Linked DNA regions of Nothobranchius furzeri. The protein of the gene in region 4 purifies or fractionates together with the protein of the main gene of each other region. This does not show direct contact. Links are inferred from orthologs where the notes say so. Each region holds a gene or a part of one and is shown on either strand. Other genes may lie near its edges.

Region 1 (4,141 bases), on a different chromosome or scaffold from region 4:
TAACGGGGCATTTAAAAAATCTTAATCTTTTTTCTCTCCTCTTGGGAATATTAATATTAAAGGGGGGGGGGGGGGTAGACGGAGTAGAAGGAACTGAATTTATAAAGTCAAAAAAGTTCCTTAGAAATATTTACTTCAACGATTCCAAAAACCGTGTTCTGTTGCCTTGAAAGAACTGGGAATTGGCGACCTCTCCTGGCAAAAAATAGAACACTTTTGTCCAACAGCATTTAGAATAGAAGGAAAGATGGGGAGGGGCTGCACAGGGTGAGTGCGCGTGTGTGTGCAAGATTGCTTGTCCTGTGTGTCTCTGTGTTGCCCTCGGTTGCCCTGCGATGGACTGGCTCTCTGTCCAGGGTGCACCCCCCGATTGCCCATTGACCGCTGGAGACAGCACCCCCCCCCCCCCCACACACACACACACACACACGCGCGCGCGGACAAGCGGGTTCAGAAAATGGATGTACGTGAAGATGGGGAGTTGCTGCCCTCCAGTGTATGAAAGCTGTAACTGCGCTTGTGTTCTTTGCCTTTTAGAAGAGAATATTTTAGCCTCCTTGGTTTGATGGAGCCTTAAAAAAACTTAATCCTTTTTTTTGTTCTCTTGGAAATTGTAGTATTGAAGAAGAGACCGAGGAGTAGAAGGAGAATAAGGAACTGGATTTCTAAAGTTGAAAGAGTTCCTTAATTGAAACACTTCCTCTGAAGTTCTTTTTGGTTCCTTGCAAGAACGGGAACTTTGCGCCCTCTGCTGGCAAATAAACATAGCTCCCTTGTTTTAAATTAAATAAATGGAACCTTAAAAAGGCCAGATAATATAAAATTAAGATATTTAGGTACTAAATTTTACCAGAACAAATGTGTGGTTTGTAATAAAACATGCCAGATATAAAACTATTAGTTATTAGTTCAAATAAATACCCAACTACAGCTAATTAACTCACACAGACGTAGATAGACACTGATTTATAAAAAAGGTCCATATTTTGTTTCAAACAGAATGAAAACTACTGTATTAGGATTTCACAATTAATGCATAAAATATTCAAAGAAAATAAAAAGAAATGCAATTAGTTACAGAACAAAAGAGTAAATGTTTGACCACAATAGCTGATTTAATTTGATAAACTTGTTTATTCGGTAAAATGAAAAAGTAAATCAAACAATTTGCAATATGTTATACTTGTATAACTTTTAAACTGCCCCACGTAAAACTATTCACATTCCTAAACATTAAAAAAAATCTGAAAACCAAACGAACTCGTCATTGTTTGGCTCGGTTCAATTATTAAGTCACAATAACATCCTGCGTGGGCGGGACTTTTTTTCCAATGCTGCGATCTACTACACCGCCCTTTTCGGACACCCCGGGAATCGAAACATCTTTTGTAGCTTACCCTTTAGCATTAGCGGAATAAGCTAGTTTTACATCTGCGTCCGAGATGATGGAGATCAGCGAGCGGTGGGTGGCTTTCCCGTTAATTAGAACATGTTTCATAGGTTACGAATGTTTTTGATGCAATTCTCTATTGTGCAATGAACATATTTGTTTCAGCAGCCTGCACCTCTCATTCAAATCAGAATTGTTCTTTTCCCATGCTAAGCTAACCGGTTAGCATGCGTCTCAACAAGGGTTTGTTGTTGCTGCACAAATCTAACGTGTAAAACGAAGACATTAGGGCTTTACATCACTCTCCGACAACAAATGAGCAACATTTTTATTATTTACTCAAGTTCAGCTCATAAGTTCATCTTTTTTGCAACAACTAAGTGGGAAAGTTGTGTTTACTCCTGATGTCCCTAGTGATCTACTATCTTATACATGTGTATTATTCAGATAAACTGGTATGCATCTGGAATTTCTTTTATGGATTCACTGCATCTTTAAAAAATCAGATTAACTTGAGTGTATTTTATCCTGTTTTTACCATAAAGGATGATGACCCGTATGCTAGACACGTCTATAACAGTAATGCGTTGTTATTTAGGGAGTGTGACTATTAGGTATTATTAATGTCTTTCACACAGAGTGAGGTTTAAAACTTGATCAAAATCACAAAAATGCTAATATATATATATATATATATATATATATATATATATATATATATATATATATAAAGAATATAACTCTTTTCGTTAAACTTAATTAATCACTACCAAGCTGTAAATAAATGTTATCATGCTTCATTCTGGCCATCTGTGGGAGTTTAAGCTGATGGTTGTAAAGCAGACGGTTGAGTTTGTTTTTAAAAATGTAGCGCTGTTTAAATGTGTTTCTCTGCATTCCCTCCTCAGAATGGAGGTGGACGGCTGGGACTCGAGTCTGGAGGACGATTTGGGTGTTTCCTTGGATGATCTGAAGAAGCTGGTTGAAGAAGCTGTGGAACAGAGTGAGATGGTGCAGAAGAAAAAAGCTCAGTTGAAAGAACTGAAGCAGTGGGTGGAACAGAAAGAGGAAGAGGAGGCAAAGACGGAGATGCTTCTCAAAGACACAAACCAGTGAGGTGGAATGGTTGTCTGTTTTATTAGTGCTTATCTATAACGAGCTCATCTTCTTGTCTCCTTTTTTTAGATCTTTAAAGAGGTGTGAGAAACTGGTAAAGGAGGCTTATCAGCTGAACGGTCTTGTCTACCGAGAGAGCAGCTCTGAGGATGAAGGGGGTGGAGATGGACTGTGCTCTGAAGTCATTGAGATAGATGATGATGACGATGACGATGTCATTGCAGTTGGATGTTGTAAGTTGTGCTGTTTTGTAAAAAGATATGAAAACACTGAGACTGTTGTTCATCTCTTTTTCTTCTGTTCTGCACCATCAGTGGTTCCTCCAACGAAATCTCCAGGCAAAGACTCAGTGGTGAGAGCAACAAAAACAGTGTTTCTGAAAATATATTCATATCTAATTACTATGTAATTACTACAGTGTTGTTTTTGTTAATGAGCATCAGGGACAAAAAGTGCTGTTGACACATAACAGGCAGCTTTAAAGGTGTGGAGAACTGAGAAATATTGTTTAACTCATTCGCTGCCAGCGTTTCTCACCGTTTTTACTGTTTTTTTTTAAGAGTGACAGAACGTTGCATGCTAGGATGATGTCGACGCCGAAACAACCAAAACAAAATGGAGACTCACCTTTTACATCAGGAAGAATCCGCGCGTTTCGAGCGTTATCCGTTCTTTCATAATCCGTTGTTGAAGTGTGATCGGCAGAAGCTTTTCCGGTTCGCGCCTCACTTTTTTTTACAGCAACGGCCCAAAACGATCTCCTAACACATGACGTTCTGCTTCCTGATCACGTGACCTGTGACGTACGCGGATGAAGATCGGCTGTTTGTTCTCACCGTGCGGGGGCTCGTCCGACACCCACACAGTAACAAAATGCAAATGACGACTTTAGTCCTCAATGGCAGTGAATGAGTTAATGATTATAATGGGTCATAGAAGAGCACGCTGGCATCGTCCAGAGGACATCAGGTGCTCCGACAGCCCATGGGACATCAAATGTAAAGGATAAAGTATACTTTATCCTCTAGGTTATAATGGGTCACTCAGAGTTCTTCATGCCGTCCGAACATGAAAACAGTCTCCTACACTTATCTCCTGCTTTAGTCTCTGATAGAAAATAGAAAATCCTGACAGATCTACGTCACACTGTCACTGAACATTCATGGACTCACCCATCTTGGCTCACAACGGGGAAGGCTGTTGTTGGTTTAGCGTCCAGGTAACAGCAGAGAACGTCTCGGCTAGTAGAAGCTAACTGTTAGCGTTAGATACTCCACCACACAGCAGGACTCCTCCAGGCTTGTGTTATTTGTGGAGATAAAACATCAACTATGCAGGGCAGAGTCAGCGGTAGAGCTGTGTTGCTGTTATCCAATCAGAGGAGAGATGTCTGAATATCAGGAAATAAGACTTCCAATCCTGTCGTCTGAAGCAACTCCAGATGACTCGTACTTCCTGGAACAGGTGCATCAGAGCTTTTTTTTCTCCAGAGTACAACTTAAAGGCATTAATTTCTACTAGAGACCACTGCAAATGTATTGATTCAACAAGTGAACCACAATCCTCGGTGAAAAATATTAAATGGGAAATCATTTCTTTAAATTCAGCCAAAACATAGTTATTTTTTTAGGTTAC
Region 2 (4,098 bases), on a different chromosome or scaffold from region 4:
TCATGAATTCCAAAGTTTGCGTGGAAAATTGCTTGCGCAGTTTTCCAACCCCGTTGTGCGTGGCCCCTGGACTTTAAATATTCTGACTAAAACTGTCAGTGTTGTGCCGTCGTCCGGTAAAACCTCTTCACTACATTTAAATTTAAACCTGCCACTGCTATTGGCTAAGAGGTATGCAATGACGTTAGCTAGTACATTTTGATGTCACAATGCTTTTGTGAGCCTGTTTGTGTTTATTTGTTAGCGGCTCCGCTCTCTCGGTCTGCCAGGCAACAGCATTTGTTGCATTTTTCAAAGATGAAGTGGGAGTAACGTGAATTTCTTGTAGGGGGTGACTAACTCTTTAAAAAGCAAGTTGCAGGTAACATATTTTTTTCTAATTCATATAAAATGCTGTCCAAACATACTCTTTGAAATGCTTATTGTGGATATTTGGTTTAAAAACAGCAGTTTTCTAGTAAAAAGTGGCCTCTCTCAGCAAAGCTTCTAAAAAGGCTCTTTTTTTCTAAATCTGAACCTCTGATGTAACCAAAGGGAGTTAGAAGCTAGGCGCTGCCTCAGCTCTGTGTGGAGAGTGGGTAGTTTTAGGGTAGAGCGGTCATGTTATCCAGTCAGCGTGTGTGTTTACTAGTTTTGGATTGTGTTCATGTTGATAAACTATAGTTTGTGAAGGCTGTACCAACTCCAGCCTTTCTGGACATCGAGTCCACGGGTTTCCAGATAAGAGAAACTACGCCTCTATCTCACATGCCTGAGGGCGTTTTGTGCAGCTGAAAAGACGGGACTTCTGTAGCCCAAATCGGTTGGTACAGAGACAGGGAGGTCTGCGCTGGGCTCTGGAGACCCGTGGCAGGGTTTAAAAAAGTACATTCAGATTTCTGGAACTCAGATCACCGTCAGAACCAGGTCAGAACCGACCACCAGAAGAGACAGGCGGCTCAGCGGGCCAGCTGTTTTTTTTTTTGGTCCATCATAAGTATAATTACAAACATTTAAAGTTTCCTCTGTGTCAGAGCCGACATTAGGATCTACATTTTTCTCTAGATTAAGCTAACAGGACCCCGTCGGCTGACTTGGTTTGGCAAAGAAATAAAAAAAAAACTCTCTCACAAAAATGACTCTAAAAGCCTAAATAATTTATGAATGTGTAAAAAAAAGTTTAAAACGAGTTGCTATTATGTTTCTCTAAACATTGGTTTATTTGAGTCTCTAACCTGCAATTTGCTCTTTAAGCAAAAGCATTATTTATTTGTGGTGTTTTAATCCAGCTAAATATACAAACTTATACTCATTACTGCACCACAGTTGTGTTTTTTGTACAGGATTAAATAATGTAGAATAATTACTAGCCTGTTATAATTTTTGCTGCATTTTCACACCAGAAAATGGTTAAAAGCAGAGACAGAAGACTGGTTCTTTGTGTGAGTTTGGATATAAGGACAGGAAGCACTGAGAGGAAGTAAAAGAAGCACAAGCAACTGAGACGAAAGTGACGCAGTAACAAAGTTTAGGCAATTAACTTTGCATCAACTTCATGTATCATTTTTTAAATAAACTCACTGTTGGTAATGACATTTTCTGTTTATTTAGGAAACAGAGAAGGGTATTATAGACAGGTTTCTCGAGTCGCTAGCAAACATTAATGAGACTGGATTCAGCCAGAGGGAAGAATAATGAGATTCTTTAAGCTGCCGACTCAAAAATGAAACGAATTTCAATGAATATGTTATTCTGAAGGGCAAAGTTTAAATCAGGCTTGTGAGAAATGTAAATGACAACTTTTGAATTTGCTCACCGTGATTTCGTTGTCCTAATTTACATAAATTAGAAAATGTCTCGGCTGTGGTGCGCTGTTGGCTCAAACCCCAGACCTACTTAAATCTGTAAAATCATTATAAACAAGAAATTAAAAGCGTATCAATTATTTCTGTGTGTAGTAACACGGGATTGAGTTACGCAAGATCAGACTCTTCACATCTTAAAGACAAAGGTAGACGCCACAATGATTTGGGAATTTAGTTTACCTCAGCTATTAAAATACAACCTTTTGATTGTCACGCGACGGTGCTTTAAAAGATCGAAGTGTTTACAAATGAGTAAACACATCTAATTTCCAAATGTTGAAATTGAATGGAATCTGCACGTTTACGAATTAAAAACGGAATGCTTTGGTTTAAAAACTAAAGTTCTGGGTGATTTCCCTGTTACGATCACCATAGCAACCATACTCCAAGCTAACATTTGTCCAAGTCATACAGTCACGCACAACCTTCCACTTTAATAAATACAACCAATAAAGCATAAAAACGTGCATTTTTAAGGCCTCCTGTGACATTAGTGTTAACTAGCAGGACAGCTTCGGTAGAGATAACGTTTAAACTCGTCTCAGATGTTTATGTTTAACCGGTTTAACCCCACATAACCTACATAGAATGGTGTGTTTTGTCTAATTTCCTGACTAAAGAAGCATATATGTTCTCCCTTTACTTGCAAACTAATATGATAAATAACCATCGGTGTGCTGGCTACACCGGCAGTTAGCATCATGATGCGTTAACTCACCTGAATGTTACATTCCAGTCCTGAAAGCGGCTTCACCGTGATAATCATTATGAGAGCCGCAAAAATATCAAACCAAACACACGCGAAGAGGTTCAAACTTTAAATGATTTAAAATGTACCCAAATAACGTTACTTTAGTGGTTGGTAACGAGCAAACAGATTGTTCTCTTCTCAGTGGAACGTCTTCTTCTTTTTTCTTCTTCTGCGACTCTCCTCTGTTTCTTCTGCAGCTACTGCTTGCTCTCAACTGACAACAGCGCCACCGTCTGGCAGGAATATCTCAGCCCTTCAAACAAAACTGGAAAACAACAGAAATCTGCATTTCAAACGTAGAAAATTATGTTTAAAAAATCACAATTGATTCAAACACACTTGTGAAAATCAGCATATTTCACCTGCAGTAGTCGTCTAACATCAAGCCTATTCTGTCCGCCCGAGAAAATAAAACAGGCTTTTAATTTCACAGCCGAAATACCCCCAAATACCCCGATTAGACTTTTGTGAAACAGCTTCAAGTTTGCTTGTTTTAAATATATCGCCTTTGTTCTTATTTTTATTATGTTTCCTCACGAACTCACACTTCCATATTCGAGCAAAAATGAATTTGACACAAAACAACGCTGAGTAGCAATTACATTGAATTGCAATGTGTTGCCAAATAAAACATATAAAATAAATCACAGATTAACGTAAAACGGACCTATTGAAATGGAGCACAAACGCCTCATTGGACAGAAGAAGGAGCTATCAGAGTGCACACAGATAACCTTTGATTTGTTTTAGCTGGGGGGAAAGGCTATTCTCAGTTTGACGCTCCCCATTGGTTCCGATGGACTCCGAGGACCGTCTGACCCAATTCGGATCCAGTCCACGCATTTGTCATTACCTCTCCCCTCCCGTATGGATGGTCTCCGAGATGTTGGTCACGTGACTGCCTGTCTACGCTGCCTGCTCAGTCCCGGCCAGCAGGAGAAGCATCTTTCACTCGGGCACTTGCAGGAGAGATGTACACACCTGTCGGATGGACGGAGTCAAATAAGCACGCACTCACGGGAGTGAGGAAGAGGTACTGATCGATACCCAGACTGCACGTGGTAAGTGATGAGTGTCTGAAACACTATTATAGTCTTACTGGAGCATGCAAAACACATTTCATTTGTTATCTATCTATCTATCTATCTATCTATCTATCTATCTATCTATCTATCTATCTATCTATCTATCTATCTATCTATCATCTATCTATCTATCTATCTATCTATCTATCTATCTATCTATCTATCTATCTATCTATCTATCTATCTATCTATCTATCTATCTATCTATCTATCTATCTATCTATATATCATCTATCTATCTATCTATCTATCTATCTATCTATCTATCTATCTATCTATCTATCTATATATCATCTATCTATCTATCTATCTATCTATCTATCTATCTATCTATCTATCTATCTATCTATCTATCTATCTATCTATCTATCTATCTATCTATCTATCTATCTATCTATCTATCTATCTATCTATCTAT
Region 3 (3,993 bases), on a different chromosome or scaffold from region 4:
TGAAACATTTAGGGAGGGAACGCCTGGATGAAAAGGTGAGTTTTTAGATGATTTTTAAAGACCTCTACAGTGTTAGAGAGAGGGAGATTTGAAGGTAGACTGTTCCAAAGTCTGAGTGCAATAGTCTGAAAGGCCCTGTCCCCTTTGGTTTTTAGTCTGGTTCGAGGAACAGCCAGGAGGTTTTCAGATGTGGATCTAAGGTTCCGAGAGGTGATGTGTGGGGATAAAAGCTCAGATAGGTAGCTTGGAACCTGGTTGTTAAGAGCTCTATAGGTCAGGACTAAAACTTTAAACTGAATTCTATATTCTACCGGGAGCCAGTGGAGGGACTGTAAAACTGGAGTGATGTGAGCTCGTCTGCTGGATTTGGTTAGGAGTCTGGCTGCTGCATTTTGGATGGCTTGAAGGCGTGAGAGGGAGGTTTTGCTGAGACCAGTAAAAAGAGCGTTACAATAGTCTAAGCGTGATGACACAAAGGCATGGATTATTTTTTAAAAGATAAAAGTGTCTGCAAAATAAATAGACATAAACATAAACATACTTAGTATACATAATTATTGTAAATCCTTTAAACTATATTTTTGGTGTTAGTAACAAGACAAGTCGCTTTAACAGAAGTTTTATCTTATTATTTAGCTTTAAACACTTAAAATTGTGTAGAGAATACAAAAGACAAGGAGAGATGGAGACATTAGTGCCCCCAGTGGTGATGATATGGAACTACACTTTGCTTCTGTTAAATCAAGTTGTTTCCAAATTTGAGATAGAATCTACACAAATCATCTATCAGAGAACATTTCAGCTTCCTTATCTAGATGAAGCCAAAAAAAATCCCAATAGTTGTTTTTGTCCTTTTGATGGAATTAATAGGAGGAGAGGTAACAATAGTAACAATAGAAGTTACAATAGTTACTTAGTAGAACATTTTCTCAAAATTATTAAGTGTTAGTATGTTTCGGTCTGTGTCTATTGTCTCTATCCAGAAAAGAGAGGCTGTGGAGAGATTAATATAAATAAATAAACAATATTGAAAATATGATAATAAATGTGCTTATTTATGCCGTTTTGGCAGGATCCCCCGATCTGCTGTCGAAAACCTTTTGAAGGATTGGTAATCAACAATACGCAACAGTGCCCTCTAGCGTCAAAATACATGTGCCACACTTAAACTTCGAACAAAAGAATATTTGTCCTTCTCGGGCCTCCGTCGTTGTGTCTCGTCGTGACAACATGGATCCTGTTAACAACTTCACCTCGGTGTTTGAGTGATTAATGCGTTTAGTCTTGGCCACACCACCCTTCTTTTGAGTTATTCTGCTCACCCGGAGACCATGTTCACCACCACCGGTTCCCGGGGCCTCTGTAAGTTTCCTGGTGGAAGAATCGTTCTGCTCACCTTTTCGTCGGACACTTTCTACGCTAGCTTAGCTAACGAGCGTTAGAATCTCGTTGCCATTCATTTACTCAGGGCTGTGCCTGTCAGTTATATAAACAACTCTTTGTTGTTATCCAATAATTACCGTTAACAGTTTAAACTGTAATTATTCAGTTATCCTAACTAACGAGCTATTTTTTCACTTAAATTAGATATATTCTATCTTTAAACTCTGTGACGTTTGTATGTACTTTTCGAACAGACAAGGCTCCTCTGTCTAAAGGCCTTCTGCTGGTTCTCAATGGGCTGACGGTGATGCTGACCCTGCTGCCACAGTACCAAGATATGTTTATTTACAACTTACAGGCCATCACACATCAGCACCAGGTTTGTCTCGTTTAAAATGATCCTATTTATACAGTCAACGCTCAGGAGCTGTGAGCCAAACACCCAGAGGAAGTGTTGTAGTGCTTGTGTGTGTGTGTTTGTTTTGTTTGTGTGCTGCAGGTGTGGAGGCTGATTTGTGGCAGGTTCGTCTGTCTCGATGTGAAGGATTCCTTCTGCAGCAGCCTCCTAATTTATAACTTTCGAATCTTTGAGAGGAGGTTCGGAACCAGGAAGTTCGCTGTAAGTTTAAAAACTGGACCTGAGAACTAGTGTTGCATTTCCTAGGATGTCATTTAAAGTGTTCTTTTAAGAAAGAGAACACAGAGCTTCTTCATCTGATAGCCTTTGTGGTTGTATTTGAAAATAAACACAGCCTGTTTTGCTCAGGTGTAGTAAAACAAATCCTGTATAATGTTCTTACCTTCAGTCCTTCCTGCTGGGCACTTGGTGTCTCTCTGCATTGGTGGACCTGCTGTTGGCCCAGGCTGTCCTGTATCTGTTTGACTATGAAGTGGAAGAAGTTTCTGCTGGACTGTAGGTTGATATAATGCATCTCTGCAAATACATTTCCAACATCAATACATTTTCTTTTTTATTATGATGTAAAGCAATCTTTTATCTTTTTACCCTCTCCCCTCCATGCGACTACGTGGTTCTTTCACAGTGAAGTACTTCTTTGAGCAAAAATTAATTTACTACCTAAAAACATTAATTTGTTAAACTATGAAAATAACGTGGGATGGCCCGTTGTTCGATCTCGATTCTACCATCGCTAGTCAACACTGAATCCTTAATGAACCCTCACTGGTCTTGCTCAGCTGTGGTGTTTATGGTGAACAAGACAACATTTTAAGTTAGGGATGCTCCGATCAGGTTTTAATCTGCCGGTCACCGATACCGATCAACCAAGAGGCCGATCAGCCGATTACCGATACCAATTACATAGATTGGCTGTAAATTGTTCATTTAGCTATGGTGAGTTCTAATGCATGTGTTACATATTAATTCAGAAAAAACATGGTTTTACTTCACTTCAAATTATGTAATATCAGTAAGAATTTATAAGAAATTGAAAACATGCAGGCTCTCTTTAGGCTACAATAGTGCAAAAAAAGTCAATATCTCACATCACCGCCTAAATCAAATTAAGTAACCAAGGATACATTCAGATACATCCAGTGAGCTGTTAAGCTCAGCATTGACACAGGACTGACATCTGAGCTCCAAATGTCACTTGTGAAACTCACAGAGGATGAGACGCTTTCTTTAAGGAGTCCCTCGATGAAAGAATGCACTGTCTGGGGAGCTCTGGAAGGGCTATGTCGGCGAAATATTTACGTCCTGGTAGCATGTAGCGAGGTTCCAAGTGGGTTAGTAGTCGGCGGAATCCGGCGTCTTCCACAACTGAAAAAGGCTGGTCGTCTAGTCCAATAAACTCAATGATTTTACGGGTAATTTGCTTGGCCTTTTGACTGCCACGCTCATATGGGCGAGTGTTTCCAAGCGTCGGCTGCGTTAGCTGCCGTCTGACTGTGGCCGCTTTAGCAGGCTTCTTGTCATTGTCTGCAGTGAGCCTCAAAAACTCACCATGCTCCGCCAAGTGTTTAGTCTTTAAATGTCGGATCAAATTCGTTGTGTTGAATTTTTTTGAAGCGCTTCCTCCGTGGGGTATGTTTTCGTTGCAAGTGTTGCAAGACGCAAACTTAATATCACTCTCGCAAACCGTAAAGAAGTTCCACACGGCAGACATGTTTGTCTTTGCGGGTTTGCCACCACGCGCATGTGCACTAAGCGGGGAGAAGCGGAAGGGTGAACTACCGGCTGGGAAGAGTAAGCGCCAGTGCCAGATCGGAAATGAAAGGCAGTGATCGGCGATCACACACTTTTGCAGGAAAATCGGCCGATAATTATCTGTGGCCGATCAATCGGAGCACCCCTATTTTAAGTGCTTTATTTCTTCATTCTTAACTCACGCTCCATGCTTATTACACAGGTCTCCGAACACACTTCCAGCTCTTCCAGCCGACAAAATCCAGGCTGCATTCACAGACAACAGGTCCATCAACTAATTGTTTACCAACACAAACAGAACCTGCGCTTCGTGCACAAAGAAGAGTACTGTAGGTGTAGATGGGGGAGGGGCTGAGGGCAGTAAGATGGAAGAGTTGTGATCCAGTCATTAAGAAGGGGACGTTCACAATGGTTGGACGAGGTTTGTCCAGAATTGTACA
Region 4 (3,106 bases):
CTCTGATCTGGTCATTCTCTAGATTCTGAAACAGAGTGTGACGTACGAGGCCTTCATTCCTGCTAGAGACCTCTGCAGATGCACTGATTAATGAGTGAACCACACCTTAACTGTTAGATGAGGTGAACATATTCATCCTTTCCTCTGATCTGTGGCTCCTCAGCTCCACGTTATGTACAGAAGAGGTCATAACCTTCCTCAACACACGGATGCTCTTCTGGGCATGTTCCACCAGCAAGCCCGAGGGCTACCGAGGTGTGTATGCCCGTTCATTCGTTCATCTGTTATCAGTGTGACCCCGGCTTTCCACAGCAGCCGTCAGCAGCACGTTACTGCAGCAGCACGTCATAGCTGCTGATAGGAACGGCTGTGGTCAACAGAACCTTTTCCACAGGAGCCGTCAGCAGCTGTCAGCAGCACGAGTCGGCCGCGTCTCAGGAGCAGCATGTCGCGGCCTTTACGCGCCGGTTCTATTTCCTACGCGCGACGCCTCTGAAACGGGTCAAGTTCGACATTTTTGGGGAAGGAAAGACAGGAAATCGGACGCGGAAATGGAGAGAAGCTCCCGAAATTTTCAGAATAAAGAACGTACTGCCTTCCGGTCGCTTTACTTTAAAAAAGGTTACTAACTGTGCGGCCCCGTGAGAAGTTATCACCTAGCTAGCGGTCTCCTTTGTTTTTCAGGTCCGTATCGGCGATTATAAAACGGACAGAATATAAAAACACAAACATTTTGGAGCCATGTTGTAGTTTTCTCCTGCTTGTTGTTGTGTTTACTGACGAAGTCACTCGTGTGACTTCGTGCCCTGTCGGTGACAGCTGCTCCTCTGCTGCGTCGCGTCTCGTGGGAAGGGCCAAGCAGCAGCTAGACGTGCTGCTGCAGTAACGTGCTGCTGACGGCTCCCGTGGAAACCTGGGGTAAGTCTGGCTGCTCTGAAAACAACAAACACTCTGATATCACTGGTAAACAACATGTTGAGACCAGGGCTGGGCAATAAATCCACTCTTACCGAGATAATTGTTCCCGTCTCAGGAATGAGATGAGAACATGAAATATGTGTGTGAGCTGGCAACATTCATGTCCTGTAAGAAGCTGCACCACCTTCAGTGGCATACCAGTGTGACTCAACCTGGAACACGTGACATCTAGTGGACAACTGTTGTTCCTGCACACACCTGTAGTTCTAGTCTGTTCATCGCTAGCGAGGTGAAATCCTCTATATGTCGTGATATTAGTTGTAGGCCATGCCGCCCAGCCCTAGTTCAGACCCATGTGGAGTCCCCAAAGCTAGAAGCTAGTGCTGCTTTTCTGTCCTACAGGGACTCTTCTGTTAGCTTGAGTGGCTACAAAAACATTAAGATCCGTGCAGAAGCGTGGTAATAATGGTAGTCCACTGGGCTTTTGTGTAACAATGGTTTCTATACCAAGTGTCCCAAGCGTTGCGGGAGAACACCTACCCATTCCTGGCCATGATCATGCTAAAGGACCGGAAGATGACCGTGGTGGGTCGGCTCGAGGGTCTGATTCAGCCTGAGGAGCTCATCAATCAGGTCACCTTCATCATGGATGCCAACCAGACATACCTGATGTCAGAGCGCCTTGAGCGGTACGTCAGACCAGCTGGAGTTAGTGAGACCGTCGTCACATTCTCTACAGCTGAAGTAGCAGCGAGTGAAGACTGAAGTGTTGTTTCCAGAGAGGAGAGGAACCAGACCCAGGTGCTGAGGCAGCAGCAGGATGAGGCCTACCTGGCCTCCTTACGCGCCGACCAGGAGAAGGAGAGGAAGAAAAGGGAGGAGCTGGAGCAGAAGAAGCAAGAGGAGGAAAAGGTCCGACAGAGTGCTCTTGCAGAGGAGAGGAGACGAAGAGTGAGTCTGGTCGTCTTCGTTTGTACATGGATACGTTGGTCTTCCCCTACATGTCTGATTCCTGTTGTTGTTTTCACTCCAGACACTAGAAGAGGAGAAGGAGAGGAAGTCGGAGTGCCTTCCTCCAGAACCATCTGCTGATGATCCAGAAAGTGTTAAAATAGTGTTCAAGTTGCCCAACGACACACGAGTAGAGAGGCGGTTCCTGTTCGCTCAGTCTCTGACGGTGAGCGCTGGTGTCTTTGGTCTCCTTCACACGCCTCTGGTCAATGTTTGGTTATTAGACGCTGACATGTGATGAAACATCTACATGTTTCTTCTTCCTTCCACAGGTAATCTACGACTTCCTTTTCTCTTTGAAGGAAACTCCAGAGAAGTTTCAGATCGTGACAAACTTCCCTCGCCGAGTCTTGCCCTGCCTTCCGACTGCAGAGCAGCCCAACCCCCCCACGCTGAAGGAGGCAGGACTCAGTCGCTCCGAGGTCGTTTTTGTTCAGGACCTCACGGACGACTAATAGATGACTTACCTCGTCTACATGGAGACACGTTTATCTCTGACCCACCCATGTTGTTTGGTTTGTTTTGGTAAATGGCCGTTTTACAGAAGGGATGGTTGCTATAGAAACTAACCTGGATCACTAAACCACCCTGCATCCAGTGCTCCTTCACTTGTGTTGACAGGGTTCCCATTAGCCTGCAGTCTTGAATTTTATCAAATAAATATTTCTTGAAGTGGTTCCTTGTGTGGAGAAACTGTTGTTGGTGTTAGCTAACAGTTATCCTCCTCCCAGCAGTGAGACTAAAGCTGCAGCACAACCTCCTCGTCCCACACAAGCTGTCACAACCGAGGAAGACTGGTTGTTAGTTACTCGAGGGGAGTTCCCTGCTGTTTCTCTTGGTTCATGCTTTAGCCCACAACCCCTACAGCGATTATCAAGCACAACTAGCACGGTCCAAGTCTGAAGCAGCTGTGATCGAGAGTTGAAAGGATGGGAACCCTGTTTAAATGAGCCATCACTTGTACATAAGTTAAATATTTAAATGCCCACTATTGTTTTTATTTGACTCGTCATGAAACGACCAAATGCAGGTTTGTTACTATGTAAAGCAGACTGCCTCCAGCTCATGAAGTTAAAACGTACAATATTTAACGAAGGCCACAGCTTTTACATGTGGCTCTATGTAGTTTAGTCTGCCCATAGTGTGCCTGTGGTTACTCATAGATGCCTGTTTTGCC

The links. Proteins that work in one complex are often made in the same cells at the same time.
Region 1: the proteins of faf2 (region 4) and setdb1b purify together in Homo sapiens (affinity purification with mass spectrometry; 3 studies listed by BioGRID and IntAct, counting the BioPlex papers as one, with this or other methods). This does not show direct contact. The link is inferred for Nothobranchius furzeri from reciprocal best matches to the Homo sapiens genes FAF2 and SETDB1.
Region 2: the proteins of faf2 (region 4) and ubl4a purify together in Homo sapiens (affinity purification with mass spectrometry; 3 studies listed by BioGRID and IntAct, with this or other methods). This does not show direct contact. The link is inferred for Nothobranchius furzeri from reciprocal best matches to the Homo sapiens genes FAF2 and UBL4A.
Region 3: the proteins of faf2 (region 4) and ubac2 purify together in Homo sapiens (affinity purification with western blotting; 7 studies listed by BioGRID and IntAct, with this or other methods). This does not show direct contact. The link is inferred for Nothobranchius furzeri from reciprocal best matches to the Homo sapiens genes FAF2 and UBAC2.

What each region holds. Positions count from the first base shown.
Region 1 is NC_091745.1:76,219,461-76,223,601, forward strand, and holds the start of setdb1b (histone-lysine N-methyltransferase SETDB1-B), read left to right. Parts: upstream 1-1,341; 5' UTR 1,342-1,442; coding exon 1,443-1,462; intron 1,463-2,298; coding exon 2,299-2,502; intron 2,503-2,575; coding exon 2,576-2,739; intron 2,740-2,820; coding exon 2,821-2,858; intron 2,859-4,141. UniProt on the Homo sapiens protein: Histone methyltransferase that specifically trimethylates 'Lys-9' of histone H3. H3 'Lys-9' trimethylation represents a specific tag for epigenetic transcriptional repression by recruiting HP1 (CBX1, CBX3 and/or CBX5) proteins to methylated histones.
Region 2 is NC_091757.1:40,380,206-40,384,303, forward strand, and holds the start of ubl4a (ubiquitin-like protein 4A), read right to left. Parts: upstream 2,801-4,098; 5' UTR 2,611-2,800; coding exon 2,563-2,610; intron 1-2,562. UniProt on the Homo sapiens protein: As part of a cytosolic protein quality control complex, the BAG6/BAT3 complex, maintains misfolded and hydrophobic patches-containing proteins in a soluble state and participates in their proper delivery to the endoplasmic reticulum or alternatively can promote their sorting to the proteasome where they undergo degradation.
Region 3 is NC_091752.1:31,488,582-31,492,574, reverse strand, and holds the start of ubac2 (ubiquitin-associated domain-containing protein 2), read left to right. Parts: upstream 1-1,193; 5' UTR 1,194-1,331; coding exon 1,332-1,362; intron 1,363-1,637; coding exon 1,638-1,762; intron 1,763-1,882; coding exon 1,883-2,002; intron 2,003-2,189; coding exon 2,190-2,296; intron 2,297-3,993. UniProt on the Homo sapiens protein: Restricts trafficking of FAF2 from the endoplasmic reticulum to lipid droplets.
Region 4 is NC_091742.1:44,986,938-44,990,043, reverse strand, and holds the end of faf2 (FAS-associated factor 2), read left to right. Parts: intron 1-163; coding exon 164-255; intron 256-1,429; coding exon 1,430-1,607; intron 1,608-1,697; coding exon 1,698-1,869; intron 1,870-1,951; coding exon 1,952-2,095; intron 2,096-2,201; coding exon 2,202-2,384; 3' UTR 2,385-2,606; downstream 2,607-3,106. UniProt on the Homo sapiens protein: Plays an important role in endoplasmic reticulum-associated degradation (ERAD) that mediates ubiquitin-dependent degradation of misfolded endoplasmic reticulum proteins.